3 linked regions of the Ovis aries genome follow. The protein of the gene in region 1 purifies or fractionates together with the protein of each later gene. This does not show direct contact. Links are inferred from orthologs where the notes say so. Each region holds a gene or a part of one and is shown in the gene's direction. Other genes may lie near its edges.

Region 1 (9,238 bases):
GGATAACTCGGAGCTCATCAGAAATGTGACTCTCTGTGGCCATCTGCACCATGGCAAGGCAAGTGAGCTTTTGACTACTTGGAACAGGGTTGCTGTTCATTTCTGCTCATTTTTTTTTAGCCCTCGGAGTCACATGTTGGGGTCTGAGGCCTGAAGGCTGGACCTCCTGACTCTGGGGGCCTCCATGCCTATTGTGAAACTGAGCTGTGAAATTCCAGCTTTTTCTGAGCAGCAGATGGAAAGCTAAGCCACTGGCATGCCTGAGCCTCGTGTCTACATCTGGACAGAAGAGGGGAAGTTGAGCCTTACTTTGATTTTGATTTTATAAGTTTTTATTTCCTGGGGGAAGCTTGTCTAAGAAAGATTTCATCTTTCATTTGAAAATAATCCTGTGGCTTTATTGTTGATCCTTTGCTGTGCCATAATCCTCCCTGCTCTCCTCTTCCTCTCTTTATTCCTAAACTATACGGTGTACTGGGGAAGGGTAGAATAGATTTTCCCTGGTGGGTGGTAGAGCATAACTTTCTCTTCTCTTTCAGACATGTTTTGTAGATTGTTTAATAGAGCAGACTCACCCGGAAATCAGAAAGCGCTATGACCAAGATGTAAGTAGAAATCCTGTTCAGGGTTTAGGATGAACCATTCAGAATATACAGGGGTGGGTGTCTCTCTCCTTCCCCTTCCTTCCCTTGCCACTCATTATAAATAATGATGCCTTAGGATTGTGTGCCTTATAATGTGCTGCTTTATAATTGTAATTTCTATGAATAGCCTTTAAAATGATTTCAGCTTTCTCAGGAACAGAGAGAATGTTAACCTGCAGTATTTTGGGGTGATCTGTTCTTCACTTGGGATCGCTCCTCTGTTCTGATATATCCTGACTTTTGTGGCCTATTCTTTCCTGTCATAGTATTAATAGCCTACTCTATAAATATAATACAATTGGACCTTGTTGCTTTCATGATAAATTCAAATGCCTGTGAATAAGGCCAAGTGTGGCTGCAAGTCTCAGTGCAATAAATGTTCAGTCTCCACCAGATTGACTGTTTTGACGTGCAGGGTCCACGAAGGCCAGCTATGTCTCCATGTACCACTGCGAAGAATTCAGTGCATTTGATATAATTTAGCTCTCCAGCCATACCTGGTCTTTAGTGACTTTCCCCACTCCCCAAGAAAACACACATCCAGGAAGGAGCATTTTCTATCTGGCAGGGCGCCAGTCTCATTGTCTAAAATGTCTGTAGGGACACCCTGTTGTCTTCCATCTCTTCTCCTGAGGGAGAGACTCTGGAGCCAGGGAGGTGGTGAGGGAAAGTGATTGATGGTTTGTGTGGGAGAGGAGTCTGAATTCAGATGGTAACCACAGTTCTTTATTATTTTTATTTTTAGCTGTGCTACACTGACATCCTCTTCACAGAACAAGAGGTAAGTGTGCCTTTGGAAATCTGATTGTTGTTCACAGCAGTAGTAGTTCTGTAGCGAGTGTAGAGGAGCCTTTATGATAACGGTTTGGTCCATACCACTGCCCCCTCTCTCACTCCCATCCCTCACCTCTTTATCTCCCTGCTTCTCCTAGTCATCCCAAGGTCAGTAACTTGAAAGAGAGCTGGGTAGGCAAACTGTCCGGTACAAGGGGGAGCTTCGTATGCTTGGCTGGATATAATTTAGCTTAATAGGGCAAGTGCCAGGAGGTGTTGAGAACATTTATGCTGTAAGTTTTACAGAAGCTAAACAGGATGTTTCAAATGACATCATCCTTAAAAATCTGCTGTAAGATGACTCCGTCCATATGTTGATCTCTGGGAGTAGCTTCTCTTGGTGAATGAGTTCGTCTGTCTTTGTGCTTTTTTTTCTGATTAAAGGAGTGAATATACATCTTGGTCTTTGCCATTCCACCTGGTTGGGCTTTCTTTGCACCTGGATCTTTGTCCATCCACTCCAACCCCTTTTGTTTCCCTGTCTCTTATTTCTATCTCTGTTAAATGACCACATGGAAAGCACAGTGAGTATAAGTATGATTAGCCAAAGGAGCTTTAAACAGTCCTGGCATATGTTAAACACTCAACAGATATTAGCTGTTGTTTTTATGTATATGAATATATTTATATATTTGTGTGACTGAAGTTGTTTTAGTACTTTCTGTTACAGCTTTTATTATATATATATTATATACATAGATGGTTTGGTTTAGTCACTCAGTTGTGTCCAACTCTTTGCGACCCTACGGACTGTAGCCCACCAGCCCCTTCTGTCCATGGGATTTTCCAGGCAAGAATACTGGAGTGGGTTACTATTTCCTTTTCTCATATATGTATATATTTAAAAACCTAAAATACCCCAGATTGTTTCTTTTCACTTATATGGTGCTTAATTATTTTTGTTTACACTGTATGAGGAGGGTAAGATTTTAGGCCTCTAGATTCTCTCCTAAAGTTTAATACTGTTTTGCTGGACTTCCCTGGTGGCTCAGACAATAAAGAATCTGCCTACAATGCAGAAGACCCTGGGTCAGAAGATCCCCTGGAGAAGGGAATGGCTGCTCACTCCAGTATTCTTGGCCTGGAGAATCCCATGGACAGAGGAGCCTGGCGGGCTATAGTCTATGGAGTGGCAGTCAGAAACAACTGAGCGACTAATGCCGGGGTCCAGCCCCGGTGGATCCAGGGAAATTCGAAGGGGAGACGGATAGGCGAGAAAAACTTATTTATTTAGAGATATAAGGTTAGATTAGGAAGAAATAGTATAGTAGGGAATTTAGGTGGAGAAAAGAGGCTGAATAAGTTGGTTTACTTGGAAAGCCAATCAAGTTCCAGACAAGGAACTTGCACTGTCTATGTTAGGCCACCGGCGTCTGTTTGGATATCAGAGAGTGCCCCGCCTTGGGCTCTCTCTCTCATGGATCTTAGAAGCCGGGACAAGTAAGTAAACATGGTGAGCCTCCACGCCCCAGATGGAAATTCAGCCGAAAAAGGGAGAAAAGAATGACATGCCCAGCATCAGTGCAAGACTCCAAAAACTATTTTTCAAAATCAGCTTATATACCCCAAGTTGTACATAATGGAATATACAGAGTTATGCAGGGGCAGCAGTCCTGACCCTCATTGAGACAAGGCTTTCTTTTTGCATACACCCCCCCCCATACAAAAGGTCTCAGGTGGTTTACATTATCTTCTGGCCAAGAGGCTTGTTAACATTTTTATGGCTCTCTTCCTGGATAATTGTCTATCAACCAGAAAACTCCTTTTCCCTAGAAGTGTTTTTTCTTTACTTTGCATCACCCTCAAAGTACTAAATAAAGTTATGTTCCTGTAGAACAAAGGTGCAGTGGGTTATAACAAAGAAAGTACTTAACTCAAAGACCTAATGTTGCTAATACCAGGTCTACTACCTGTTTTTCTATATACCAACTATATCTAAAAATAAAAGATATAAAAATTTGGCAGCAAGTATTGGCTCAATAAATGAAACCTTTCATCAGTCCTATTCTAATGATTTTGACTCCTCGGAAGCCCCTATATTCCTAGGATGTTTTAAGCTTCCTGTGCCTCCCGCAGTCAGGAGGCCTCAAACAATCTCATGTGCAGATGTACGAGTCCTGCAGGCAGGCTAAAAAGCCATCAGAGGGGGTTTTTGAATTGAAACACCCTTTCAAATGCAGAAGACTAAAAGCCTTGAGGTGACTTTTCCCAGAGTGTGTCAGGAGAGTGGAAAAGTATAGTACAATAAGGCAGGCATATTCTTATTTTTTGGGGTACATGCTCAGGAAATACCAGGGGGAAAACCTGAGATCTGACTCGACCTTGCACATGAGGTCTCTGCCACATGACCTTGTCACGGGTGGGATTCCTCAGGCTGGCTCCCGGCAGACTAACACTTATTTACTGCTTTGCTAGCTTGTTCATTTATTTTTAGCTTTTTGTATTTGAACCAACTCCTCCCCGCCCGCTGCCCCTCCCCCAAAGCTGTGTAACACCCAGATAGTTCATCTTTAAGGTCATCACACCCATTGCAAGGAAAGACATCAGGATAATTTACTAGCAACTGGAAAGACCCAGGAGCATCATGAAGCCCTCTGGCATAGGAAGAGGCCTTGATCACTCTTGCCCTCTTTCTCTGTGCCTTTCAGAGGGGTGTTGGCATCAAAAGCACTCCTGTGACAGTGGTCTTGCCAGATACCAAGGGGAAATCCTACCTCTTCAACATCATGGACACTCCAGGTAGGATATCCCTGACCTTTTACCTTCAGAACCTTGCCCAGCTTGTTTCTCCTGGTCCCACACTTCCCAGAACAGAGCGTTGCATCTTTGTTTTCACATTTCCTCGCCTTTGTTGAGATAATCTTCTTTTTTTAACTGTCTCTTTTGCATCTAATGAGTTAATTAGCAAGCACTCTGCTCTAGACCTTCTGTTTTGTTCCTCTGTTGACTCTGCTTTACAAGATTTAAATTTGGGGGAATCTTATAGTCCTGTATTCATTGGGGCAGCAAAGCTGAGTCACACATGGTCCTGGGCTCAGGCCGTCTCAGTCTTTCAATCTTTTGAAAGAGACTGGGGGAGCACACACCAATGGCTGGGCGACTTGCAGGTTACCATACGTTGCCCTGTGGTTGACTTTCTCTTTGGAAAGGCCCAGCTCAGGGTTTTCCTGTTTGGTTTTTGTTTTTTAATTTTTGTCCACAGCATGTAGGACCTTAGTTCCCCTACCAGGGATTGAACCCACACTCCCTGCATTAGAAGGTAGAGTCTTAACCACTGGACCACCAGGGAAGTCCAAGGCTTTTCCTTTTTTAAATAGGAAAATTTGGGTTTTGACAGATTGGCCTTCTTTGCCCCATCAGATGCCCGTTGCCCTCATACCCCTCAGCCTCTGACTCCCAGCCTGCACCCAGCAGCCCGCTGCTGTGCTGCAGGCCCTCCTTTGCCCTTTTTCCTGCCTCCAAGTTGTCTTCTGTCTCACAGAACTCTACTCACTGCTGAGACTGGTATAGTCTGAGTATGAATGCCTTATGCCCTCCTTGGTGAAACGCTTCTTTTGTGTTTGAGGGTCTCCTGGATAAAAACTTAATCCAAGCTTTTAGTGACTCTCATGTGGAATTTTATACCCTGCAGGGAGCTGTGGGGAGAAGGGAAAGAGAATATTCGTGGGTTTGTGTGCTTTGAAACCCCACCCCGCCGCCAACCATGTACAAGTTATTTGTGCCTCATCCTGCCACCACACAAATTGTGACATACTTGGTATTTGTTTTCCAGGACACGTGAATTTTTCTGATGAGGTCACAGCGGGCTTGCGCATCTCAGATGGAGTGGTCCTTTTCATTGATGCTGCTGAGGGCGTGAGTCCGCTTCTGTTCTCTTAGACCCCTCCTCCCTGTTACGTTTGCCCCGCATGATGCCCAGAGCTCTGAGTGAGCTGGGAGCTAGAGAACGTGAGAGTCTGTGGGATTAAGGTTCACGTTTGCTGTAAAAATGAAGGCAGCAAATGAAAGTCAAAATTAGTTCTCATGAGACCCTCACTCCCTACCCAGTGAGGCACAAAATGATCACAGAAATGCAAAGGTAAATAAGAGAGGGAGGAGAGTTTGAAATGTTAAGAGTTTGTCTAAGCTAAAGAGTTTGAAGTTAAAAGATCTAGGGTGTCTTTTATATTTCTAAATAGAAAGATGTGGTCATTTGACTTAACCTCATTCACGTTGTCATCAGTGAGATAGCCAGCAGAGGGAGCCAGAGTTGCCCTTTTTTAAAATTGACTTTGTTTTGGAATAATTTCAAACTTGCTGAAAAGTTGCAGTAACACAGAGCAACTCGCCCTCATTTGTAATTCTCTCTCTGTACATGTACGTACGCACTCACATGTGTATGTGTTTCCCCTTCGTACCATATGAAAAGGAAATATTTCAGAATATATTTCCTAAGAACAAGGACATCACTTATGTAACCATAATAGGCTTAACAAAATCAGGGAACTTAACATTGATACAATTGTTGTACAGAAATTTTCCTGTAGACCTTAGTCAGTCCCAATAAATGTCCTTTATAGAATTTTTTTTCCTAATCCAGGATGATGCATAACATTGAATTTTCATGTGTCTTTAATAGGAACGGTTCTTTTTTTTTTTTTTTTAATTTTATTTTATTATTTGTTTATTTATTTGGCTTCTTCTGGGTTATGGCACACAGGATCTTCAATCTTCACTGTGGCATGTGGGATCTAGTTCCCTGACCAGGAATTGAACCCGGGTCCCTGCACTGGGAGCTCAGAGTCTTAGCCACTGGACCACCAGGGAAATCCCAATAGGAATGGTTCTTTTAGCTTTCTTGGTCTTTTATGACATTGGCATTTTTGGAGAATATAGGCCGTTGATTTTGTCAGTTGTCTTCCAGAGTATGTTCATGGCTACTGGGGTACATTACTTCTAAAATTTCTCACTGAACACAGATAATATACACCCATACATAACTGTTTCTATACATACATATTAAAAAACATTACCCTGGAGAAGGGAATGGCAACCCACTCCAGTATTCTTGCCTAGAGAATCCCATGAACAGAGAGGAGCCTGGAGGTCTGCAGTTCATGGGGTCACAAAGAGTTGGACATGACTGAGTGACTAATAGTTTTTGTATTTTACCGGAAAATACTCCTGTTAGGTTTTATTCCAGTTGAACTAAAATAAGGAATCAACCATTGGCCTAATTTTTAGGAGAGGTACTTTAAACTTGAAAGAATATGTATCTTATATGTAGCTGACCATCATAATACACAGTTATTTAAACTTGACACCCTGAAATAAAGTTATTTTTATAAACCAAAAAAAAAAATAAATAAATAAATAAATAAATAACATTAATGTAGTAAAAGAAAAAATCAATGTATCTTAATACCCACAATTCTTTTTTGTTTGTTTTGTTTGAACCTCGAGGCTTGTAGGATCTTAGTTCTTAATTCCCGGACCAGTGATTGAACCTGGGCCCACTAAGTGAAAGCACCGAGTCCCAACCACTGAACCATCAGGGAATTTCCCTGATACCCACAATTCTGTTTCCGCACCACAGCTTCCTAAGCCTTTCTCGGTTCCTTCTCTGGCACTGAGAAACTTGGCTCCCCAAAATCATCAGTGGATTTATTCATTTCTCAACCCTACCAGGTCACCTCTTAAAATTTCCGACTCTGCTGTAGAATAAGATACCCTCTGCTTCCCCCTCATAATCTGTTTCCTCTCTTCCACATCCTTCATATTTTATTTTTATTTTTATTTTTTTCATATTTTAAACTAGAACTTTCTTTGACTCTGTGCGGGCCTGTTCTGCCCTCTTTGCACTCATCCCCAGCTTCTGTGTCTCAGGTGATGCTGAACACAGAGCGGCTGATCAAGCACGCGGTGCAGGAGAGGCTGGCAGTCACCGTGTGCATCAACAAGATTGACCGGCTGATCCTGGAGCTGAAGCTGCCACCCACGGATGCTTACTATAAGCTGCGTCACATTGTCGATGAGGTCAACGGGTTAATAAGGTAGAGGAGCCCCCGAAGTAAACCTCCTGTCCCCGGCACTCTGGTTTTTATAAATCTTAACCTTGAACACCTCTGGGGGCAACTCTGAGCTCTTGGCATGCATTGATGAGCTTGTTGGACACAGCTGGAGGAACATTCTGTGACTCTACAGGGACTGACTCCCTAGCCTTGGCCTCATTAACTCTGCTCCTTAACCAGATAGGCAACTGGCTGCAGATCCTCAGTTTATTACTGCAGTCACTTCCCTGAGCTCTAGAGTCAGTCTCATCTTCACCAGCCAACCATGTAAAGTTGGAAAGGTTCCTTAACCTCTTAGAGCCTCAGTTTCTGCTTCCATAAAAAAAGAATAATAGTATTTGCCTAATGAGATGTTACAAGAAATTAAGTAGATAGCCGATATAACATACTTAGCACAGTGCTCAGTGATAATAGCTTATGGGTGAATAATGTCAGCTGCTGTTATCTTATTAGCACAGACTCAGTAAGAGAAGGAACTCTTGGCTTTTGTTTCTTACGGAGCTGCTTTTCAACAAGATGGATTTGGGGTTTAGGTTAATAAGTATGAATGATGGTTGGGAGACCTTGGAATCATGGTGGCTTTGAAGAATAGGTTAAATATTTCTTAAGGACAGTTTAACCTATAGTGGAAAGATGTACGGATAACTTCTTGAGGCCGCCTGCAGGGCTTGGGAGGAGCCTGTCCAGCTGAGAAAACTCCTCTCCACCCGAGGATCCAGGACAGACCCCTCGTGGCCCGGGACAAGTTCACCTTTAGGAACACCCCCAGTTTGCAGTGCTGGTTCTCAACAGGGGTATCTTCTCCCTGACACTGGAGAGGCTAAGAATGACCGGAGCCCAGTGTTACAGCCAGAATCCAAAAGATGAAATGATCTACTTCTCTGAAGACAGGGCAGGGGTCGTGTAGGGCTGAATCGTGATCTACTAGAATAGGAAGTTAGGAAGTCAAGAAGTCACATCTCAAGCGCCAGACAAGAAATATCACCATAAATATATTGTTTAGAAATATGGAGGTAAATGCTCTAGAAGCAGCTTTTAAAGAAGTTGAAAACACTTGCCTCTGGGGAGCATAACTTGGGAGTGTGGTAGGGGAGTGCTCTTTAGAAGCCTGTACTTGTATTTCTAGATTAAGAAATTCCATAAAGCAGTGTGTCAGGAAGGCTTGGGTTGATTCCTATGTGCTCTGGTTTTCTTATAAATGCTAGTGAACTTGGGGGTACTGTGGCTTCTGTATGACTTTTAAGACTAAATGTTTTAACGTGAGTTTGTAAAGCAAAGCCAGACAAGACCATATGAGAATGGGGAGCAAAGTTGCTTTTTTTTCATTCATTCATTCATTTACTTATACTGGTATTTCTGTTTGTGAAATTGAGATTTCTCGAATGTACTCCTGTTTTATCAAAGTAGTTTCATTTCCTGTGTTCTGAGGTGTTTGTCCTCCAAGTTTCTCTTTGTCTGGTGCAGTTAACTTCTCCAGGATCATGCAGTGTGTTTCCAGCTCTGGAAAATCATCTTGTTACTGGGAGTTAGGGAACAGCTCCATCATGTCACTTTCTTGGAGCTGGCTGTTGGCGAAGCTGTGTGTGTTATGCAAACCCTTTCTGCGTGCAGCCACTGGAGAAAGGCTATGATACCGAGTGCTGCCCTTCACCCTTCGCCTCGGGCCCACATGCAGCCCAGCCCAGCCACACACTCAGGGTCATCTCTCTT
Region 2 (9,897 bases), on another chromosome or scaffold:
CTCTACGAATCTTCCAGTCTGCTCTGCTTCATTTATAGATGAGGAAACAAACATCCAGAGAGATGGTGCAATTTGCCAAAGGTCCCCCAGCTGGTTACAGTGACAGTACCATGCCCAGAAGTGAAGCCTGCACCCTCCTATCCAGACTTCATTTCACTATGAACAATTCATTGACAATTTACACAATATGTATAATTTCCTAAATAAGATTTAGCAATTCAACTCCAGATTTTCTTAAGCTCATTAAATTGCTCAAAGTAGCTAATGAAGACTAACCTATGCTGAGCTCTTCCTGTGCTTCCAGTCCTGTCCTCAGAGTTTAGACTATCTCAGTGCATTTTCCCAACAACCTCACGAGGCAGGTATCATTTTAGATGTAAATACTCTCAGGCACAGAGAGATACATAGCTTGTGCAAGATCAGTTCAGTTCAGTTCAGTCGCTCAGTCATGTCCGACTCTTTGCGACCCCATGAATCGCAGCACGCCAGGCCTCCCTGTCCATCACCATCTCCCGGAGTTCACTCAGACTCACATCCATCGGAGTCCATGATGCCATCCAGCCATCTCATCCTCAGTCGTTCCCTTCTCCTCCTGCCCCTAATCCCTCCCAGCATCAGAGTTTTTTCAGCCAATATGCTATCTAACTGGGACCGCAGCCCATGTCTGTCTGATATTTATGTTTGTATTTTTACCCAGAATTTGAAACATCCTCCCTTCCTACTGTGCATTTCTGTTAGTCTATATGAAAGTGTACTAATTCTTAGTAATTTGTAGGTACTTGTAACTTCTCACATTTTTGTAAGAAGATTGAAAAATGTATCACAGTGTGTTTCTTGCTTCTTTTATTAAATTGGCATTGATTTTCTATACAAAAAAAAAAAAAAAAAGACGTACATGAAATAGCATCTTGAGTCCACTGAATCTAGCATTCCTGCCAGTTCTTATCTCTTCACTAGTAACAACCCTTCAGTATCTTCCTTCTCACTGGAGGCAGAAGCCAAAGTCCTTACAAAACCACTGACAAGGCTGCTGGCAATCTGCACCTCCCCTCAACTCCCTGCCTATCTTCCCCCTCAGGACTACTTACTGTTCCCTCCACCTCTTTGAGATATTTACTCAAATGTTACCTTACTTCTTAGGCTCCCCAGACTACCCCATTTATAACTGAAAAACTCCCCCAACCCCAGCATACCTTGCCCCTGTCCTGTTTTACATTTCCCTGCCATACTTGTTACTTTCTCTATTTTAACTTATTGGCTAATCATCCCTAAGAGAATGAAGGCATAATTACATAGTTCACTGCTGTATTCCTAGTGCTTAAGAGAAGGTGCTAAAAAATATTTGCTGAGTGAACTTAATGACAAAGTATATCCAGGTATGTGCCTCTGTTTCAACTTCAAAATGTAAGCTACATATTCTGAGCACCCTAACTCTGTAATGCCCTGTCGTAGATCTATTACCTATGGGCAATTCACTAATTATTTTGTTTGTTTATTGTTGAAATTAATTTTCCCCCTCTTCCACTCTGTATTCTTGGTGGGCTCCAGGATTTCAAAAAGGGGGAATATCAAATTTTTGATAGATCCCTCAGCAATTGAGAGAAAGTGATCTGTACTTTAACTGGTCTCTGTAGAACAGAACTATCATGACAGCATTAAAAATATAAGAAGAAAAACTATTAGGAAAGTGAAGTCACTATTTGTATTTTCAAGTGGTAAAATAAAATATTGCTTGTAAAAAGGACAAACAGCAAGATGATGGCTCTTTGAGCATTTGTTGTTGTTGTCTAGTTGATAACTCGTGTCTGATTCTTTGCGACCCCGTCTACTGTAGCTCCCAAGCCCCTCTGTCTATGGGATTTCCCAGGCAAGAACACTGGAGTGGGTTGCCATTTCCTTCTCCAGGGGATCTTCCCAACCCAGGGACTGAACCCCTGTCTGCTGCATTGGCTGACTGGTTCTTTTTGAGCATTTATAAAAGGTTTTTCTGTTGAACGTTGTCTCGGAAAGCCCAGGGTAATGAAAGAAGCCTGGGGTGGGAGGAGGACCTGGGTTCTTGGGCCATGTAATGAGCAGACTGAGGATGATCTTTGTGATACAAAGCTCTTGACAAAGCCATAACAAAGCCATGACATTTTCTCATGCCCATCTAAAGTTATTCAGTTCAGTTTAGTCATTCAGTCGTGTCCGACTGTGTGTGACCCCATGGACTGCACACGCCAGGCCTCCCTGTCCATCACCAATTCCCAGAGTTTACCCAAACTCAAGTTGATTGAGTCAGTGATGCCATCCAGCCATCTCATCCTCTATCATCCCCTTCTCCTCCTGCCTTCAATCCTTCCCAGCATCAGGGTCTTTTCAAATGAGTCAGCTCTTCACATCAGGTGGCCAAAGTATTGGAGTTTCAGCTTCAACATTACTCCTTCCAATGAATATTCAGGACTGATCTCCTTTAGGATGGACTGGTTGGATCTCCTGGCAGTCCATGGGACTCTCAAGAGTCTTCTCCAACATCACAGTTCAAACGCATCAATTCTTCTGTGGTCAGCTTTCTTTATAATCCAACTCTCACATCCATACATGACTACTGGAAAAACCATAGCCTTGACTAGACGGACCTTTGTTGGCAAAGTAATGTCTCTGCTTTTTAATAAGCTGTCTAAGTTGGTCATAACTCTTCTTCCAAGGAGTATCTAAAGTTATATTTCATGTTTATTTTTACAATTGATTTAACATACCAAGAATAATTGTTATAAATTGATATTTAGGTATATAAACTTTATTTTCACAATTTAGTTTTCCCCGGTAAACAGAAATTGCTTTCATGTCTCTAACATTTAAATATGAAGTCATATCTAAGGACACATAAACTTAAATGATCACCATAATTACTATATTTAATTCTGATTCATTAGGGGACTAATTACTTATTTTGTGAACATGGAAGACCCCCTGCAATTCTTTTCCCATTTTGAACAAGGGCAACGAACTTGAAAAGTTCAAATTTCAGTTTGCTACTTGTTTGTAAGCTCTAAGGATATTATAACCAAAGGCTAAAATGAGTTTTTGGCAGGGTTTGGAAGTTCCTATTTTGGGTGCTATCCCTCTGCCTCCATCAGCTTGAACTGAGAATTACTAGTACTATACATAATCCATTAATTTCAACTCAAATCATTTCACAAATGTTAATATTTCATCTTCATCTATGACAGCACTGTAAAATACAAGATTCTTAAAAGCCATTGAAGAGAACTTAAAAAATAAAATTTATTAAACTGTACTATGGGAGAAAGTTAAGTGTGTATTTTTCTAAATTTTGAATTAAAATTGGGACAGCCTTGTGCCAGCTAAAGCACGAAGCAATATAGTTGAGCTTAGACTAGACTAGACCACTGGCTAGCCACTGTGCAGATTCTCTGGGGTTTGAGACATTCATGTCTATCACATATCTAAATTCTGGAAAACTGGAAGAACATTAACACACCTCTTAATTTAGTAAAAGGAAAAATTAAACTTCTAAGACACACCAAAATCACATTTTTCTTTGAGAGTGATATTTTTCTTTTCACAAAATCACAGCCTTTTTTTTTTTCATTAGCTTTTATTAGAGCTTTGGCATAATTTTGTCAAAAGTATATCCACAGGAATAGAATCAAAGTGTGTGACCTAGCTGGGGTCTTATCCTCATTGTTAGTTAAGGGGACTTCATAACTGCATGACCAGGTCCTAAATTGGACAGAATAAACCTTACAGGAGGTCTGTCTTCTTGGTAGATGTAAAGAAAACACAGAAATGCAATTCTGAGGCTAACTTCTTTGGCCATTAGTACCATAACAAGGCCTGTAAAGTCCGCTTTGCAGTATGGAGTGGAGGCCACTCTTCAAAAATAAGCATGATCTCCCAAACCCTGCATCAGAGGTCATGGGAGAGACAAAAGAAAGGCCCTTCCTGAGTCTAAAATTCAACTCCCAAGTTAGGATTCAGGAAAATTAAACCAATTATTAAGCAGAAGAAAATCTCCTGCGTATAATGACTGTCAGCTTGTACAAATCAAATCAAAATTTTAAGGGTTCTAAGCAAATAGCTGGAGAAACAGATAAGATAAATCTAAAATGGAAGAAGAGGTGGCGGATTCCAGCTGAAATTACCAAGTTGAAGATGAAAGCATTTGGGTAGAAGCAGCCTCCTGGCCGGAAGGCAAAGAACATAAACGAATATTGCCACCAAAGGGCTGGAAAGGCCAATAGAGGCTGCAGCGGGTCGGTTTAACTGAAGGCGGTTTCCACCTCCTCCATTAGCTGGGCCCCAATTGGAAGCGCAGTGCGCGGCGCCGCGCTCCCGGCCCGCCGCTCGGGCGGGGCGGGGTGGGGCGAGCGCGGGCGCTCTGCCGGCGCAGAGGCGGGGCGGCTATATTACGTGCGCGGTGCCGCCCCTGCGAGAGGACGTTGCGTGCTCGCTCGCGCCAGGCGAGTCTCCGCGTCTCCCTCGCGAACTCGGTGAAAGGAATTGGCGCCGTTCGACACCAGGCGGATCCGCTCTGCAGCACGAACCCACCTCCAGCCGCAGCCGCAGCCGCCGCCCGGGCCGAGGAGCAGCCGCAGCCGCCGCCAGTGGCCGAGTGAGCGGAGCCGAGTTTGAGCCAGCGCCTAGCGGTGAATCGGGGCCTCACCATGAGTTCCTCGCCTGTTAATGTGAAAAAGCTGAAGGTGTCGGAGCTGAAGGAGGAGCTCAAGAAGCGGCGCCTGTCCGACAAGGGCCTCAAGGCCGAGCTCATGGAGCGTCTCCAGGCCGCGCTGGACGACGAGGAGGCCGGGGGCCGCCCCGCCATGGAGCCCGGGAACGGCAGCCTAGACCTGGGCGGGGATTCCGCCGGGCGCTCGGGAGCAGGCCTCGAGCAGGAGGCCGCGGCCGGCGGCGACGACGACGAGGAGGAAGAGGAGGAGGAGGAGGAAGGGATCGCCGCCTTGGATGGCGACCAGATGGAGCTCGGCGAGGAGAACGGCGCCGCGGGGGCGGCCGACTCGGGCCCGATGGAGGAGGAAGAGGCCGCCTCGGAGGACGAGAACGGCGACGACCAGGGCTTCCAGGAAGGGGAGGATGAGCTCGGCGAAGAGGAGGAAGGCGCGGGCGACGAGAACGGGCACGGGGAGCAGCAGCCTCAACCGCCGGCGGCGCCGCAGCAACAACCCCAGCAGCAGCGCGGGGCCGCCAAGGAGGCCGCGGGGAAGAGCAGCGGCCCCACGTCGCTGTTCGCGGTGACGGTGGCGCCGCCCGGGGCGAGGCAGGGCCAGCAGCAGGCGGGAGGTAAGAAGAAGGCGGAAGGCGGCGGAGGCGGCGGTCGCCCCGGGGCTCCGGCGGCGGGTGAGTGCTGCGTGGTTGGTTGCGCGCGGCGGGAGGCCCGCGCGGGGTGGGGACCGTGCCCAGGCCTGCCGGAGCCCCGCAGGGGGGGAGGGAGGAAACCCGCCGCGGGAGGGAGCACCCTCGGGGGCTGGGGACTGCTGGAGGGGGGCGGGCGGGGCGCGGGGAATCCCGGGTTAGGCGTGAGGCCTCGGCTCGGTGTGTGACGGCGGTGGCGGCGCCTCCATTATGTGCCTGGAGAGCCGGGGTGGGGAGGGGGGAGGCTGCAGCTGCCGCTGGAGGGGGAGGAGCCGCGGAGGCGCCGTCGCGCTGCGTGCGCGCGGTGCGGGCACATGTCTCGGGGGGAGGGGAGGCCCGGGGCCCCGGCGGCGCGCCGTGGCGGCTCCGGGCCGCGGTATTGTGCAAGGCGCGCCGGGCTCGGGTGACGTCACTTCCGGCGGGCGGGGCGGGGTCGGGCGGCGCCCGCGGCGAGCAGTACAATGCGGCCGCGGGGAGCGCGGGCCCGGCTGGGGGGAGGGGAGGGCGAGCGGGGCGCTTCGGCCCCTCCCCCTTTCCTGAACACTCTCTGGGGTACACGTGGGCTCCGGGCCTGGGCCGCGCTAAATTTTCATGTGCTTTCTGGAATATTCGAGTGAACTGGCAAAATTAGCAATGTCCTTAGACTGCGTCACTGAATCCAAGCCGATTCCAAGGAGATTGTTGTTTGAATTCGCAGTTGAGTCGTTGATTGAAATCACAATGTACAAGTCGAGTTTTAGGGAACCTCCGACAAGAAAGGGGTTTTCTGCTTGTTGTGGCGGCGTGCCGTGGTGTCTTATACAGCGGTGTCATGTGTTGTAGGAGACGGCAAAACAGAACAGAAAGGCGGAGATAAAAAGAGAGGTGTTAAAAGACCTCGAGAAGATCATGGCCGTGGCTATTTTGAGTACATTGAAGAGAACAAGTATAGCAGGTAGAGATGCTAACCTAGTTTTGGCACCTGTTCATTATTCTTTGGGGAAGGTTGTATCAGGAGACAATTCTGTCTTTTCAGAGCCAAATCTCCTCAGCCACCTGTTGAAGAAGAAGATGAACACTTCGACGACACAGTGGTTTGTCTTGATACTTGTAAGTGAAGCTGTTTCTTCCCCGTTCCTCCCTTAGTTATCAAATATGGTTTTTGGTTACAAAATGTTAGAAAACTTAATGCGTATAAAGGGTTCTTTTAAAATTGGAAAGATGGTGGCTTTTATTCAGATTCTGGTCACTTAATTTAGTCCAGCAGTTATATTGATAGTTTTAGAGGCTCCAGCAATTTGATAATTTTTTGGTATGATATTAAAATTCTCATTTGTAGGAATGTGAAATGAATGCCAATATTTGACTGTGTAGCTAATGGAAACTTGTAAGACTACCTATAATTTCTCCCTGTAGGGTCTACAGTAAAAGTAATGTGGTTTTTTTTTTTTTTTTTGTGGAATTATGTTAAGTGAGCTACTTGGGCTAGTTAAGTATTTATTAATGACTTTCCCATTAGCACATCACTATATTCCCTATTCTGAAAGATTGTAATATTACTTTCTCAATAACTGCTCTTTTGTTCTCAATTCCAGTTCAGTAGCTGCTGCTTTAACCTAAGTTGGTTTCTTCCAAAGACCTGGGGCAGCAGCAGTGGGCTATCACTGGGCCACTAGCTTTCTTCAGCAGCGAATGGTATCAATGGCAGCGCTGTAAATACTGCTACTTTACCCAGTTGGGTTGCAATTGAGTATGAGGAAGTATTGCAAACCTCTAAATGGGCCTTGGCAGTCAGATTCCTCATTTTTCTCACATACAAAATCATTGATTTAGTATTTTGATCAGAAAGTACAATTTTGTGATAAACAGAAAAAAGGGTAGAAATAATTGCCTAGAGGTAAGGTGTCATCCTGTCCTGTAGATCTAAGGAGTTGAATCTTAGATTCTCCTGTTTTGGAATACCTATTTTATTTAGATGTGTATGGTAGTGTAAATGTAAGTCTCTTTACTACATACTGTTTACATATAGTCAATGTAGTGGAATCTTTTATTTTGAACTGTATATGGAAGAGTAGTTGAATGTTTTATGTTTAGTTGCTTATAGTTGGCGAGCTATGAAGCAGTGGTTTAGGAAGATAATGCTGTTATAAAAGGCTTTTTAGCTCATCAAGGGATACCAGTTTAAGTGCATTATTGGGTTCAAGTATAATTTGTTGAACATTGTATCAGAAATGTAAAGAGCAAAGCTTATGTAAGGAATTCCAGACTGTAGGTTTAATTTCATCTCTCCAGTAAAACTTAGGAAACTAGCTTTCTTAATTTAGTGTTGCTTCCACTGAGAACTCAGAAGGTGCATGCTAATGAGCCAGTGACCCAAAGGTAGCTAGGTTAAAGTCGTTTTGGATTTGGATTACTCCAAAGTGTGTAATCCCCCATACTTATTAACAGGCATATCTGGGGAAAGGGGACCTAAAATGCTGTAGTAGTAACAGCATTGATGACCAGGTTTGTATTGTATAGACTGAGATTGCCTTCTTAACAAGTTTTAGCAAAGAGTTTAAGATCTAGAACCCCTGTAAAGTGAGGATCAACAGCTCATACTCTTTACTTTAAAATACTTGGTCATGGCCTCCCTTCAGTTTTATTGTGGCACTGGTAAATTCTACCTGGTCTGGCATGCTTCACTTTGATTTCCTGCTATCCTCTACTGCTTGCCTCTAAATCAAGGTAAAGAGCAGAGCAGGTATGTATAAATGTCACATTGTCTTGATTATTTTATATACTTAAAGTACGCATATGCTAAACCTTTATATTTGTTAGCTGCATAGGTAGTGTACGCTTCAGTTCATGATTTGGCAAGAATGACTTGGTGGGAGTGGGGTTTAAACTGAAAATTAGAACAGCATCTGTAAAAATGTAGTATGCAGCATTCAGAAATATGTGAAAATTTAATAACAGCTTTGTCTACATGGCAGATGTTTATAGTGGATATCAAAAGAAATAATATGGCATTTGATATAATTGCAGATAATTGTGATCTACATTTTAAAATATCAAGAGATCGCCTCAGTGCTTCTTCCCTTACCATGGAGAGTTTTGCTTTTCTTTGGGCTGGAGGAAGGGCATCTTATGGTGTGTCAAAAGGCAAAGTCTGTTTTGAGATGAAGGTAAAAGTAGTTTTGTGATGTTCTTTTTTTCTTAAGCTTCGTGAGGTTTTTGCCTGTTATCAGATATCAGTGGAACTTCTATTTTTTTCAAGTTTCTGTGGGTTACAAGAGGGACTAACCCTGTGTTTTATAGTAGTTGAAGATGTTTGTTATATTAGAAGTTGCCATGTAGATAGAGCCAGCATAATTTTTATTTAGGGTGTTCATTTTTTTATCAGGCAGTTGAAAGGCCCACCAAAGGTTTGAAAAAATTTGGTTAGGCTCCAGTTTTTGTTCTGAGGAAAACATGTTAAAGAATAAAGTTTAGTTGGTTTTGAAGCATTGAGAATATATAATTTCAACATTTTCTTTTAAATGTGACTCAACCAAGTAAATTTTCAGCTTCAAGTTATAAGCCCTTAATTTTTGAATTTCTTAAAAATGTTTGGGGGAGCGTAAAGTTGGTGTGTCTCTGTACTTAGTAGCTGAAGAAGAATTAGCCCATTGCCCAAATGAAATAAACTAGGGTTGATTAAGTGGTTTATTTTCCTTGGTTCACAGTTTGTTTATCTTTGACTTTCAGGTTACAGAGAAGATCCCAGTGAGGCATTTATATACGAAAGATATTGACATACATGAAGTTCGGATTGGGTGGTCACTAACCACAAGTGGAATGTTGCTCGGTAAAGTTTCCATTTGAGTATCTTGGTACTCATGAGTGTTTAGTGTTTGATTTCAGTAGTTAGCAGGCATTCTAAACTTTTTGCCTGTTTTTTAGAGATGATAGTAACATGAGCATAGGCTAAATTTTGGCTTTTCTTTCTTTATAGTTAATTGGTTTGTGGCTGATGGTTCAAATAGAATGTTGTCATGTCATGCAGTTTGTCAACTAGTTAAATAACCACCTAGCTTTTTATATCTAGTATAAAGTCAGTATAGTATACTCTTAAACCCTACATCTTGAAAAAATAATGGGTCGGTTTATTCTGGAGAGTTGATTTAATGAAAGTTAATTATTTTCTTAGGCGAAGAAGAATTTTCTTATGGATATTCTCTAAAAGGAATAAAAACATGCAACTGTGAGACTGAAGATTATGGAGAGAAGTTTGATGAAAATGATGTGATTACATGTTTTGCTGTAAGTCACAGCTAAATTTGTATGTAAATGGCAAGTTATTAGACAAGATTATTTTAAAGTTATATCAATATCAACTTTCAATTACTGATTGATTTTGACTGAAAACTTAATATGAAGTTGATCCCCAAATCTAGTCTTTTTGGATAGTATTAATTTCTGTTTGTGGACATAGGTGTTTTAATTGTTCACACCAAGCTATTTAAACATATAACCTAAATATCCACAGGATACGCTTTACTCCTAGGTTGGTTTTTTTTT
Region 3 (9,961 bases), on another chromosome or scaffold:
TTAGAAACTAGCATGAATGTAGTTACAATATACTGATATGGGTGGTTGGGGAAAAGTAACCTTGAGGGGTGTATCAGGAACTCATTTTGTGAATGTGAAGTTTGAAATACTCACTGGACATCCAGGTGAGATGCCAGGTAAGCTGGATATACAATATACACAACATCCAGGGAGAGGTTTTTTTTTTGGTCATGCTATTTGGCATGTAGAATCTTAGTTCTCCAACCAGGGATCAAAGCTGTGCCCCCTGCACTAGGAGTGTGAAGTCTTAACCACTGGACCACCAGAGAAGTCTGGGAGAGATTTAAACTGGAGATAAATTGGAAGTTGAGAGATGTCAGCCTCTAGATGGGACCAGATCTCACCCATGGGACTAGATGAGGTCATCAAAGTAGGAAGTGTAGCTATGAAAGGAGGGTGTTCAGAGACTGAGCGTACAGCGCTAACATTTCATGAATAGGAAGATGGGAAAGGACCTGTAAAGGAAACTGGAAAAAGCTAGAAGGAAAACCAGGAGAGTGTTTCCTGGAAGGAAAGTGAAGTTTCAGGATCAGCTGCTGCTGATGGATCGAGTCAAGTCAAATCTGTAAACTGACCTCTGGATTTAGCAATGTGGAGGTCATTGGTGACCTTGATAAAAGCGGTTTTGTGTGGAGCAAGGACTAAAGCCCAAATGGAGGATCGGAGGAAAGAAACTGAGGATAGCAAATCTGTACTCTGGGTGGGTTTGCCTGAACAGGCAGGAAAGAAATGGTGTGATATTCAGAGGGGAAATTTGGGTAGATAGACTTTTTTATTTTTTATAAGCTAGAGGAAATGACATGTTGGTATGCTGCCAGCATCTGTAGTTAGAGAAAAATGGATGATACCCAAGTGATGGGAAGGTTGCTGGAGGATGGCCTGTGTAGGCAAGAAGGGATGGGACCCATTGGAAAGGCTGTGGTTGGTCAGATTCACAAATAGTTCACTCATAGCAGCGGGAGGAGGCAGAGGCACAGAATCAGGCAGGTGGGTGAAAGTAGCATGAGAGCTTGTGGAAGTTACATATTTAATGCATATTAGGTGAAATAACTAGTATATCAAACCTGTCATTTCATGGATGTTATTACAAAGTAGAGAAATAACAGTGGGGCGGTGTGCAGATAAAGCACAAATGAAGGTCACACTTCAGTGACTGAATTTTGAGAAACACTGTTGTAAGCTGTGGTCAGGAGTGTGTGACTGGAGGCAGGGAGAAGATCTGGGAGGTTATGAACATTTCCCTGGTTAAGAGATGAAGGGCTGAGCTGCTCAGTAACTGTGGAGGTAGAGAGGCCGCCTCACTCAGTCATGTCCAACTCTGCAACCCGTGGACTGTAGCCCACCAAGCTCCTCTGTCCATGGGATTCTCCAGGCAAGAATACTGGAGTGGGTTGCCATTTCCTTCTCCAGGGGATCTTCCTGACCCAGGGATCGAACCCAGGTCTCCCACATTGCAGGCAGACCCTTTAACCTCTGCGCCACCAGGGAAGCTGGAGAGAAGGCCTAGACACGAATGAAATTCAGAATTTAGTGTTGATATGATGTGATGACCAGCCGTGGGGAGGGGTGGCAGGCCCTCTGCTTTCTAATGGGGGGCTGAGGGGTTGGAGTTCCCTCATACAGCTATGGAGCACCCTCAAGCAAAAGGGACAGATCTGGGGCAGAGCATGTATTCTTCTGGATGCAGAGATAAGAGGAAAATCTGAGGCCCAGCTGGCTTCCCAGGACTCCGAAAGAACCAAGGCCCTGGCCTGGGGGGAAACTGATGAAATCCAGTCAGATAAGGCAGGCTCTGCCCTGGGAGAGCACCTGCTGGGAGGTTAAAGCACGCAGACAGTGCCAGAGGAGGGCCGATGCTGCAGAGGAGAGCTTCCTGGAAAAGGTGACCTTGAGGGTTTAGGGATGGTGGCAGATGGAGAGCAGAGCCTGTGGGGAATGGGTAGGGAGCACGTGGGTGTGCAGCAAGGGTGGAAGGCTGGAGCCTGGGAGAAAGCCTCCATGATGATCTGAGACTTTGGCTTAAGCTCAGGAGGTAGGAAGGTAGCTACATCAGGTGTGTGCTGGTAAAGCTCCGGGGTTGCTCCTGCACAAGCTCTGGGGGAGTCTGGGGTGGGGTTGGGGTCGGGGTTTGTTCAGGGGCAGGGAGTCCCAAGTACTATGATTGCCCTTATGGTCTTTCCCGTGCCCACAGGCAGCAGGACCTGTATCGAATCCTGAAGGCCTACACCATCTACCGGCCCGACGAGGGCTACTGCCAGGCCCAGGCCCCCGTGGCCGCGGTGTTGCTCATGCACATGCCTGCTGAGGTCAGCAGACGCCGGACCTAGTCAGGGAGGGGCTGGGCCTGCAGGGGTGACGGGGGAGCTCCCTGCCCCCTGTTCCTCTGGCCCCACCCCTCCCTCCTTGTTCTTGTCTTTCTCAGCAAGCCTTCTGGTGCCTGGTGCAGATCTGCGACAAGTATCTCCCTGGTTACTACAGCGCAGGGCTGGTGAGTGTGTGGAGGCTGGTGCGCCTGGGGCTACGGCTTGTCCCTAGGACTTCGGGGCGGGCTGAGCCTCACCCTGTGCCGTTCTGGCTGGCTGCTCTGGGCCCTCCCACTGAGCTGAGGCTCCCGCCTCACGGATGGGATCCGACTGCCAGCGCCAGTCCCACCCCAGGGGGCCCACAGCCAGGGCGCCTCTCATGGTTCATCCCATCTCCAGGAGGCCATTCAGCTGGACGGAGAGATCTTCTTTGCCCTGTTGCGCCGGGCCTCCCCACTGGCACATCGGCACCTGCGACGGCAGCGCATTGATCCCGTGCTCTACATGACAGAGTGGTTCATGTGCATCTTCGCCCGCACCCTGCCCTGGGCTTCAGTGCTCCGGGTCTGGGATATGTTCTTCTGTGAAGGTACTTCTGTAGCCACGTAGGCCAGTAGTGGGACTGGGGTTTCCATGGTGGCTGAGATCCATCTCGGGAGAAACTGAGACTTGATCTTACTGGCTCTGCCACCAGCCACAGCTTGCTTTGCCTCCCAGGAACCTAAAACCCATGGTGGCTCATTTTCTTCTCAAGGCCTCCATTTCCTCATCTGTCGGGTCAACAATACACAGGGATGGGGGCTGTGAGTACCCCCTGCACGGGCCAGGCTGAGACCCCCCAGGCTGATCACCCATGGCCTCTTCTCTTCGGGCCTGCAGGCGTCAAGATCATCTTCCGGGTGGCCCTGGTGCTGCTGCGGCACACGCTGGGCTCGGTGGAAAAGCTGCGCTCCTGCCAAGGCATGTATGAGACCATGGAGCAGCTGCGGAACTTGCCTCAGCAGTGCATGCAGGAGGACTTCCTGGTGCACGAGGTAGGTCCTGGCCTTAGCGTACCTCACACCCGCTTCAGTAGATCCCCACCCCACTTCACCCTGGTACCCATGTCTTCTCCATCTAGGTGACCAACCTCCAAGTGACAGAAGCACTGATTGAGCGAGAGAACGCAGCCCAGCTCAAGAAGTGGCTGGAAACCCGGGGCGAGCTGCAGTATCGGCCCTCACGGAGACTACACGGTTCCCGGGCCATCCACGAGGAGCGCCGGCGGCAGCTGCCCCCCCTGGGCCCCTCCTCCAGCCTCCTCAGCCTCCCTGGCCTCAAGAGCCGGGGCTCCCGGGCAGGTGGAGGGGTCCCCTCCCCACCCCCTCCCGTCCGCAGGGCCAGCGCGGGGCCTGCCCCAGGGCCCGTGGTCACCGCCGAGGGACTGCGTCCATCCCTTCCTTCGCCTACTGGCAACAGCGCCCCTCTGGCCCCTAGCGGCAAGGAGGCCCGGAGGCAGGAGAAGGAGCGGCAGAAACAGGAAAAGGAACGCGAGAAGGAGCGGCAGAAACAGGAAAAAGAACGGGAGAAGCAGGAGAAGGAGCGGCAGAAGCAGGAGAAGGAGCAGCAGAAACAGGAGAAGGAGCGGCAGAAGCAGGAGAAGAAGGCCCAGGGCAGGAAGCTCTCACTCCATCGAAAGGCAGATGGACCGCCTGCCCCCCAGGACGGCGGGGACAGGTCCTCAGCATCAGAGGCCCGGCAGGATGCGTACTTCTGACCTCTGCCCTGGGGCTGGACTACGTGGCCCCCTCTTTTCCCTCAGCCAAGAGCAGACCTAGCCTGGGGTCCTGCTCCCAGCCCGCCCTTGGCAGGCTGTCCCTCTTTTTGAGGAAAGTGGCTTGTTCCCCGTCTCCGTGCCAGCCGCTGATCCCCACGTGGCCAGGACAGTCAGAACGGGGGGCAGCTGCATTTCCCTGGGGAAGCAGTGGACACCTCACCTCCAGCTCGGCCCAACTGGGGTCCCTTCCCAGGTGCCACTCTCCTGATTGGCCTTTGGTCACCGCAGGGGTGACCTGTGGCAGTGGGAGTCAGCAGTTTTCAGATTCTTACACTCCAGTCACTCCCCTTACCCGTGAAGTGAAGCTGGGTTCCTTTACCCCCTTCAGTCCTGCCTGTCTTCCCCCAGTTCCTGGTTGGGGGCCCAGGCTCTTCTTGCTCTCCTTCTGGACATCTCTGTGTTGTAATTATGTACAGAGGACCTGGTGGGCCCCGGGTGGGGGTGTTCACTCCATCTTCTGTTCTCTGGTTCTCCCTCCTCAGTGTTCTTGCACTCTAGTTTATTTAAGGGGACACGCACTGGAACAGGAAATGTCTCCCACCTCCCACCACCACCCTCCTTGCTCTCCTTCCTCTTCACCCACCTTTCTCTGTATTCTCAGGCCTCCCCTGCTTTATCTGACCAGGGCCCCTGCCTTTCACTTTGTCCCTTCCAACCCTCCAGCCCCTTCCTGGGTAAGGGTCTTCCCCTGAGCCCCAGGGGGTGGAACCCAATGTTTACATGTTCTTCTGTCTCTGCCCCCACCCTGTTCGGCCGCTTTGAGGAACCGGAAAAGAACCTGCTGTTGTACCTGGGCCTGTCTTTTGCCTTGTTATTTGATGAGTGGGGTTAAAGTAAGGACAAGGAGGGAGGGAGTGATGAGTTAGCAAGGATCTGGGTGTCTCTGGAAGCTGTTGACTGGACTTGGCAGATACCTTTGGGTCTTTAGTCTATTAGTCACTCATCAACACAGTTGTTGCGTTCCTGCTTCACCTCCACCTGCTGGGGATCTGCTGCCTCCGTTGTCACTGGCCTCCTGGAACTGTCTGTGGACAGCCTGCAGCATCCGGATCTCCTTTCCAAAGTGCTCGTGCAACTCCTGGAAGCTGAAGAGGGTCCTGGGGGTGGCTGGGGAGCCACAGTCCTCTGGGGGTGAGCCGGGCTCTTGGCCAGCTGCCTGGCACAGCTCCCGGTACTGGGCCTCCAGGGGGCGTAGCAGCTCAGCCAGCCGCGTCCAGGTGGCTCCGGCCAACGCCCACAGCCAGGCTCTCAGCTCCTCCCGGTTTTCTGCTGCCAGCCTGTAGGCCCGCCCACCATCTCCCCCTGGAGTCCGAATGGTAAAGGCATAAGGTTCTGTGGCTCCAAGGCGTGGCTCCACCTGGCAGTTCTCTAATAGGATGAGACCCAGGGGTGTGTGGTCAGCCTGGTGTTCCAGGTAGAAGAGGAGGTTTCCTCGCAGGATGAACCAGCGGCGCTGATAACTGGTATTTCGGGCCCCCTTCTTTAGCAGGATGCCCTCCCGGTCTGGAGCCTGTGTTCTGTACCCACGGAAGAAACGGAGCACGGACTTTCGGTGCAGTTTCATGGTAGCCCACTGTGGGAAGAAACCCTAGGAGTGGAGAAAGGAGGAGTGGGGCATTTGGTGATCCGGAGTACCCCAGCACTGCCCTCCTCTGGTTCCAGCAGGCTCTTTCTGGGCACTGTCTTGGTCTTGGTCTAGAGGGATTCAAACTTGAGTTTTCAAGAAGGACCTTCCACCCACCTCCCAACCTCAGCTCTGCCCCTTGGGCCAAATTACAAAACCTGGGCAGGACTGTAGTGCTGGGGTCCTGTTTGGGGGTGGGGTTGGCGGATATCCACTACGGCCCTTTCCCAGGCCTACCTGAGATGAGGGCACAAGGGACTTCAGGCCTCGGTACTGGGAACAGGTGCCACTGCCACCTCTCCTATTTGACTCTTCCCACCTCAGAAACCAGGAACTTGGCCAGGGGATAGGAGGCGGCTGATTTTAGACTTCCCCTGGGTCCTAAAAGGAGCTGGGTTCGGAAAGTCCCAGGAGAACCTCTGGGACAACAGCAAGGCTACACCTCGGACTAGCAAAGGGCGGACAACTGGACGCCAAGAGTAGGAAGGCAGGATTTCTAATGAGATGATGAAGGGCGCAGAACCAGCCGTGGGGAAAAGGAGACAACCCGGGAAAGAGAAAACTAGGGCAGGAACCCACCGGCCCTGCTGGGACTTTGTTCCTCCATCGTGAACCTGGGCGCCCCTTTCTCCTCAGAGCCTCTAGTGTTGTAGGAGGAAACCGAGATCACTTCCGGCCATCCTCGTCCGATCAGGGTCTAGGCGTTCAAATGTCCCCTCTTCTCACCATAGTCACCCCACACGGCTCGCGTCACTTCTGGGAGGGGGCGTCTCTCCCCGCGCGGCGCGTACTTCCGCCCGCTCCTTCAGTTGTTCATCTAACCCGAGTGAAGCCACTTCCGGCTTTCCCCGCCGCCTTCCGCAGTTCTCTTCCGGGTGGTGGCGGGCGGGTGGCCCGGATGTAGCCCTGGTGAAACCCTCTCTCCCTTTCTTCCCCCACCTTTCCTGGATCCTTAGGTGAGCGCGTGCCGGCGGGACTGCTGGTGTCCCCGTGGCCCTGCCGCCTTTCTAATTTGTACACAGCCCAAGACAGTTGGGAGTCACCCCGCGGAGTTGGGAGTTCGGCGCAGGGAGGAGCGGGGCTGCCAGGGCGCTAGGTCCTGGGTCTGCCGGGGCCCCTCGGGTTCCGAGGAAGCTGGGGGTGGTGGAGCGGGTGTTTACCCGCGAAGCACATCGCGCCCAGCACTGCTGGGGCCTGGAATAAGGGTGGTCACGTGGGGGAGCCCGTCTCCTCTTGTCAAGGGTGGGGGTGCCCGTAGGAGCTCCTCCGCCCGTCCGCTCTTGCGTCTCCGCACCAGCGGCTCTTTTAGATGCTAAGCCAAGTCCCGGGAGGGGCGGGGGGAGGGGCGGGTTCTGGACTACCAGCTCGCCTTTCGGCTCCTGATTCTGTACTCCCTTCCCAAAGTGGATCTAGTACCCGCCAAGTAAAAGATCTGTTGTGCAGGGGGCCCCCTCGCGGGGAGTTGCCTCCTCACCCAGTTCCCTTAATCTGCACCCTTTCCCTCTGCTCAGTTTGGAAAAGCCCTTCTGTCCAGTCATGCCAAAGAGGAAAGTGACCTTCCAAGGCGTGGGAGATGATGACGAGGATGAAATCAGTGTCCCCAAGAAAAAGGTGAGGGGGGCCAGACTCCTCTGTTCTGTGGCGGTGTGAAGGGAGAAAAAAAATAAATTAGAAGCCAGATGAGAGATCTGGAGGGACAAAGAAAGGATGGAAAGGGTCAGCTTTTCCGCGTATTTCTGAGATGTGGTTTTGCAAGATTTTCAGTTTGAGTGTAGATCCTAGAGTATTTGGGGTCATAGCCAGTAACTTGCTTCTTTCTTAACTTCTGTCTCCTGCCCACAGTTGGTGGACCCTGTAGCTGGGGTAGGGGGTCCCGGGAGCCGCTTCAAAGGCAAACACTCTTTGGACAGCGATGAGGAGGAGGAGGAGGAGGAGGAAGGGTCCAGCAAATATGACATCTTGGCCTCAGAGGATGTGGAAGGTGAGCTGTACCAAGAATTGACTTTTTGCTGGGGGAACAAATAGGGACCTCTGGGACCGTGGAGGACGGGAGGCTCCTGTCTCTTGCATGCCTAGCATGGGATTCTTGTGTCTGTCTGGGTACAGGTCAGGAAGCAGCCACGCTCCCCAGTGAGGGAGGTGTGCGGATCACACCCTTCAACTTGCAGGAAGAGATGGAGGAAGGCCACTTTGATGCAGACGGCAACTATTTCCTGAACCGGGATGCTCAAATCCGAGACAGCTGGCTGGATAACATTGATTGGGTGAGGCCCGGAGATTAGCATGGCTGGGCTTGGGCCTTGCTGGCAGTTTGTCAGAAATAAAACCTTCCTGTTTTCCCATTACAGGTAAAGATCAGGGAGCGGCCACCTGATCAGCGGCCGCCATCAGACTCAGAGGAGGAGGACAGCCTGGGCCAGACACCAATGAGCACCCAAGCCCTCCTGGAGGGCCTTCTGGAACTGATGTTGCCAAGAGAGACAGTGGCTGGGGCACTGAGGCGTCTGGGAGCCCGAGGGGGAAGCAAAGAAGGCAGCAAGGGGCCCGGGCGGCCCAGTTCCCCCCAGCGCCTCGACCGGCTCTCCGGCTTGGCTGACCAGATGGTGGCCCAGGGCAACCTGGGAGTGTATCAGGAGACAAGGGAACGGTTGGCCATGCGACTGAAGGGGTTGGCGTGCCAGACCCAGGGACCCCGTGACCCCACACCGCCCCCCTCCCTGGACATGTTTGCTGAGGAAGTGACAGAGAGGGAGCTGGAGACCCCAACCCCTGCCCAGAGGGAAGGTAAGGTTGAAGGGCAGAGGAGGGGGGTTGTGGGCAGGGGGCAGGCCACTGGAGGCCCAAATGACTTGGCCTATTATTTTAGAAGCAGAGTCACCTGGAGATGGTCTTGCGGACGTGATGTGGGAATATAAGTGGGAGAACACAGGGGATGCTGAGCTGTACGGGCCCTTCACCAGCACCCAGATGCAGGTAAGCTTCTCTCTACTTTGCTGTGCCTCTTCTTTCCCTCCCCCCACCCCATCAGTCCTCTCCTAGCTCTGCCCTCTCTTCCTGCAGACCTGGGTGAACGAAGGCTACTTCCCAGATGGCGTTTATTGCCGGAAGCTGGACCCCCCGGGTGGCCAGTTCTACAACTCCAAACGGATTGACTTTGACCTCTACACCTGAGCCTCCTGAGGGCCCAGTTTGGTGGTCCCTTCTTTGCTGGACTCTGTGGAGGAGGCCCTGGCTGCCTCAGGCAGTGAAAATGTTGGGGGCCACTTTTCAGTCAACTTCCTTTTCCCAATAAAAGCCTTTAGTTGTGTATTAGGGGCCTTGGCTGTGCTGATGGCCAGAAGGTGGAGCTGGGAACCTCTTCCAGGTCCCTTTGGACTTGTTCTTGCCCTTAGCGTTTCCTCTTGTGAATTTCCTCCTTGGGAGTTTCTCTCTGGTCCCTCGAACCACCTCACCTTTGTTTCCCGTTCCTTGGGGCAGGGCCGGGCCTGTGAGGTGTCCTGTGGCCTCCCAATCCGGAGTTTGTTCTCAGCTGAAATATCTCTCCACTCACATGCTGTTCTCCAGAATCCCCTGAAGGTTCCCATTTTGCTGTTCTTAGGTCTTTGGCTTCAAGGACCTAAGATGTTCTGCCTTGTAACCAATATAGGATAGAGCCCCAGAAGTGGAATCTTGAGGCTTGGATGGGCTGAGACATCTGTTGGGAGTGAGCAGAAAGGCTGATGCTTACTGGCTCGCTCTCTGCTGTCTCAGACTTCTTAGAAGCAGATAGAAATGGTCTCTGAGGTAAAGTCTAAACTCAATGTTGGCACCTAAAGGACTTTCAAGGCCACCTGGGCCAGTCTGCACAGGCCCAGAGATGGGCAATGTCTCGCTGGAGGTTACACAGTGAATCACAGGACCGTCCCCGACCCAGTGGACTCTCTTCGAAGGCCTTTCTTGGCACCAGGCCTTTTCTGGCTGGCCTTGGAGTCTGTGCAGCTTACATTTCCTGGGCTCCTACAATATATTTGACTCAGTTTAGTTCCGTTAGGAAACTGCAAGAACTGGGCTGGTCCTTTCCATTCAGAGTGCGTCTGGGGAGGATTGGGAGGAAGACCGATAGGTGTCATTGTGTAGTCTGGACCTAACACTTTCCACCTCCCACTGGTGCTGCCTCAGGCCTCTCCTTACTCACACCAGTTAGTTCTCCACCTGGCT

What was found.
Region 2: the proteins of EFTUD2 (region 1) and HNRNPU fractionate together in Homo sapiens (co-fractionation; 3 studies listed by BioGRID, with this or other methods). This does not show direct contact. The link is inferred for Ovis aries from reciprocal best matches to the Homo sapiens genes EFTUD2 and HNRNPU.
Region 3: the proteins of EFTUD2 (region 1) and CD2BP2 purify together in Homo sapiens (affinity purification with mass spectrometry; 7 studies listed by BioGRID and IntAct, counting the BioPlex papers as one, with this or other methods). This does not show direct contact. The link is inferred for Ovis aries from reciprocal best matches to the Homo sapiens genes EFTUD2 and CD2BP2.

The regions. Positions count from the first base shown.
Region 1 is NC_056064.1:44,321,555-44,330,792, reverse strand, and holds part of EFTUD2 (116 kDa U5 small nuclear ribonucleoprotein component), read left to right. Parts: coding exon 1-58; intron 59-539; coding exon 540-605; intron 606-1,389; coding exon 1,390-1,425; intron 1,426-4,126; coding exon 4,127-4,217; intron 4,218-5,250; coding exon 5,251-5,333; intron 5,334-7,343; coding exon 7,344-7,510; intron 7,511-9,238. UniProt on the Homo sapiens protein: Required for pre-mRNA splicing as component of the spliceosome, including pre-catalytic, catalytic and post-catalytic spliceosomal complexes. Component of the U5 snRNP and the U4/U6-U5 tri-snRNP complex, a building block of the spliceosome.
Region 2 is NC_056065.1:31,683,773-31,693,669, forward strand, and holds the start of HNRNPU (heterogeneous nuclear ribonucleoprotein U), read left to right. Parts: upstream 1-4,436; 5' UTR 4,437-4,670; coding exon 4,671-5,361; intron 5,362-6,198; coding exon 6,199-6,310; intron 6,311-6,391; coding exon 6,392-6,465; intron 6,466-8,382; coding exon 8,383-8,522; intron 8,523-9,084; coding exon 9,085-9,184; intron 9,185-9,526; coding exon 9,527-9,639; intron 9,640-9,897. UniProt on the Homo sapiens protein: DNA- and RNA-binding protein involved in several cellular processes such as nuclear chromatin organization, telomere-length regulation, transcription, mRNA alternative splicing and stability, Xist-mediated transcriptional silencing and mitotic cell progression.
Region 3 is NC_056077.1:27,060,257-27,070,217, reverse strand, and holds CD2BP2 (CD2 antigen cytoplasmic tail-binding protein 2), read left to right. Parts: upstream 1-4,500; 5' UTR 4,501-5,083; coding exon of another isoform or gene 5,084-5,704; exon of another isoform or gene 5,705-5,728; intron 5,729-6,001; exon of another isoform or gene 6,002-6,086; intron 6,087-6,651; exon of another isoform or gene 6,652-6,720; intron 6,721-7,275; 5' UTR 7,276-7,300; coding exon 7,301-7,375; intron 7,376-7,606; coding exon 7,607-7,745; intron 7,746-7,870; coding exon 7,871-8,028; intron 8,029-8,112; coding exon 8,113-8,548; intron 8,549-8,630; coding exon 8,631-8,737; intron 8,738-8,824; coding exon 8,825-8,935; 3' UTR 8,936-9,073; downstream 9,074-9,961. Other genes in the region: TBC1D10B (TBC1 domain family member 10B), read left to right, coding at 2,213-2,327, 2,444-2,509, 2,724-2,913, 3,204-3,358, 3,445-4,080; sesquipedalian-1-like, read right to left, coding at 5,084-5,704. UniProt on the Homo sapiens protein: Involved in pre-mRNA splicing as component of the U5 snRNP complex that is involved in spliceosome assembly.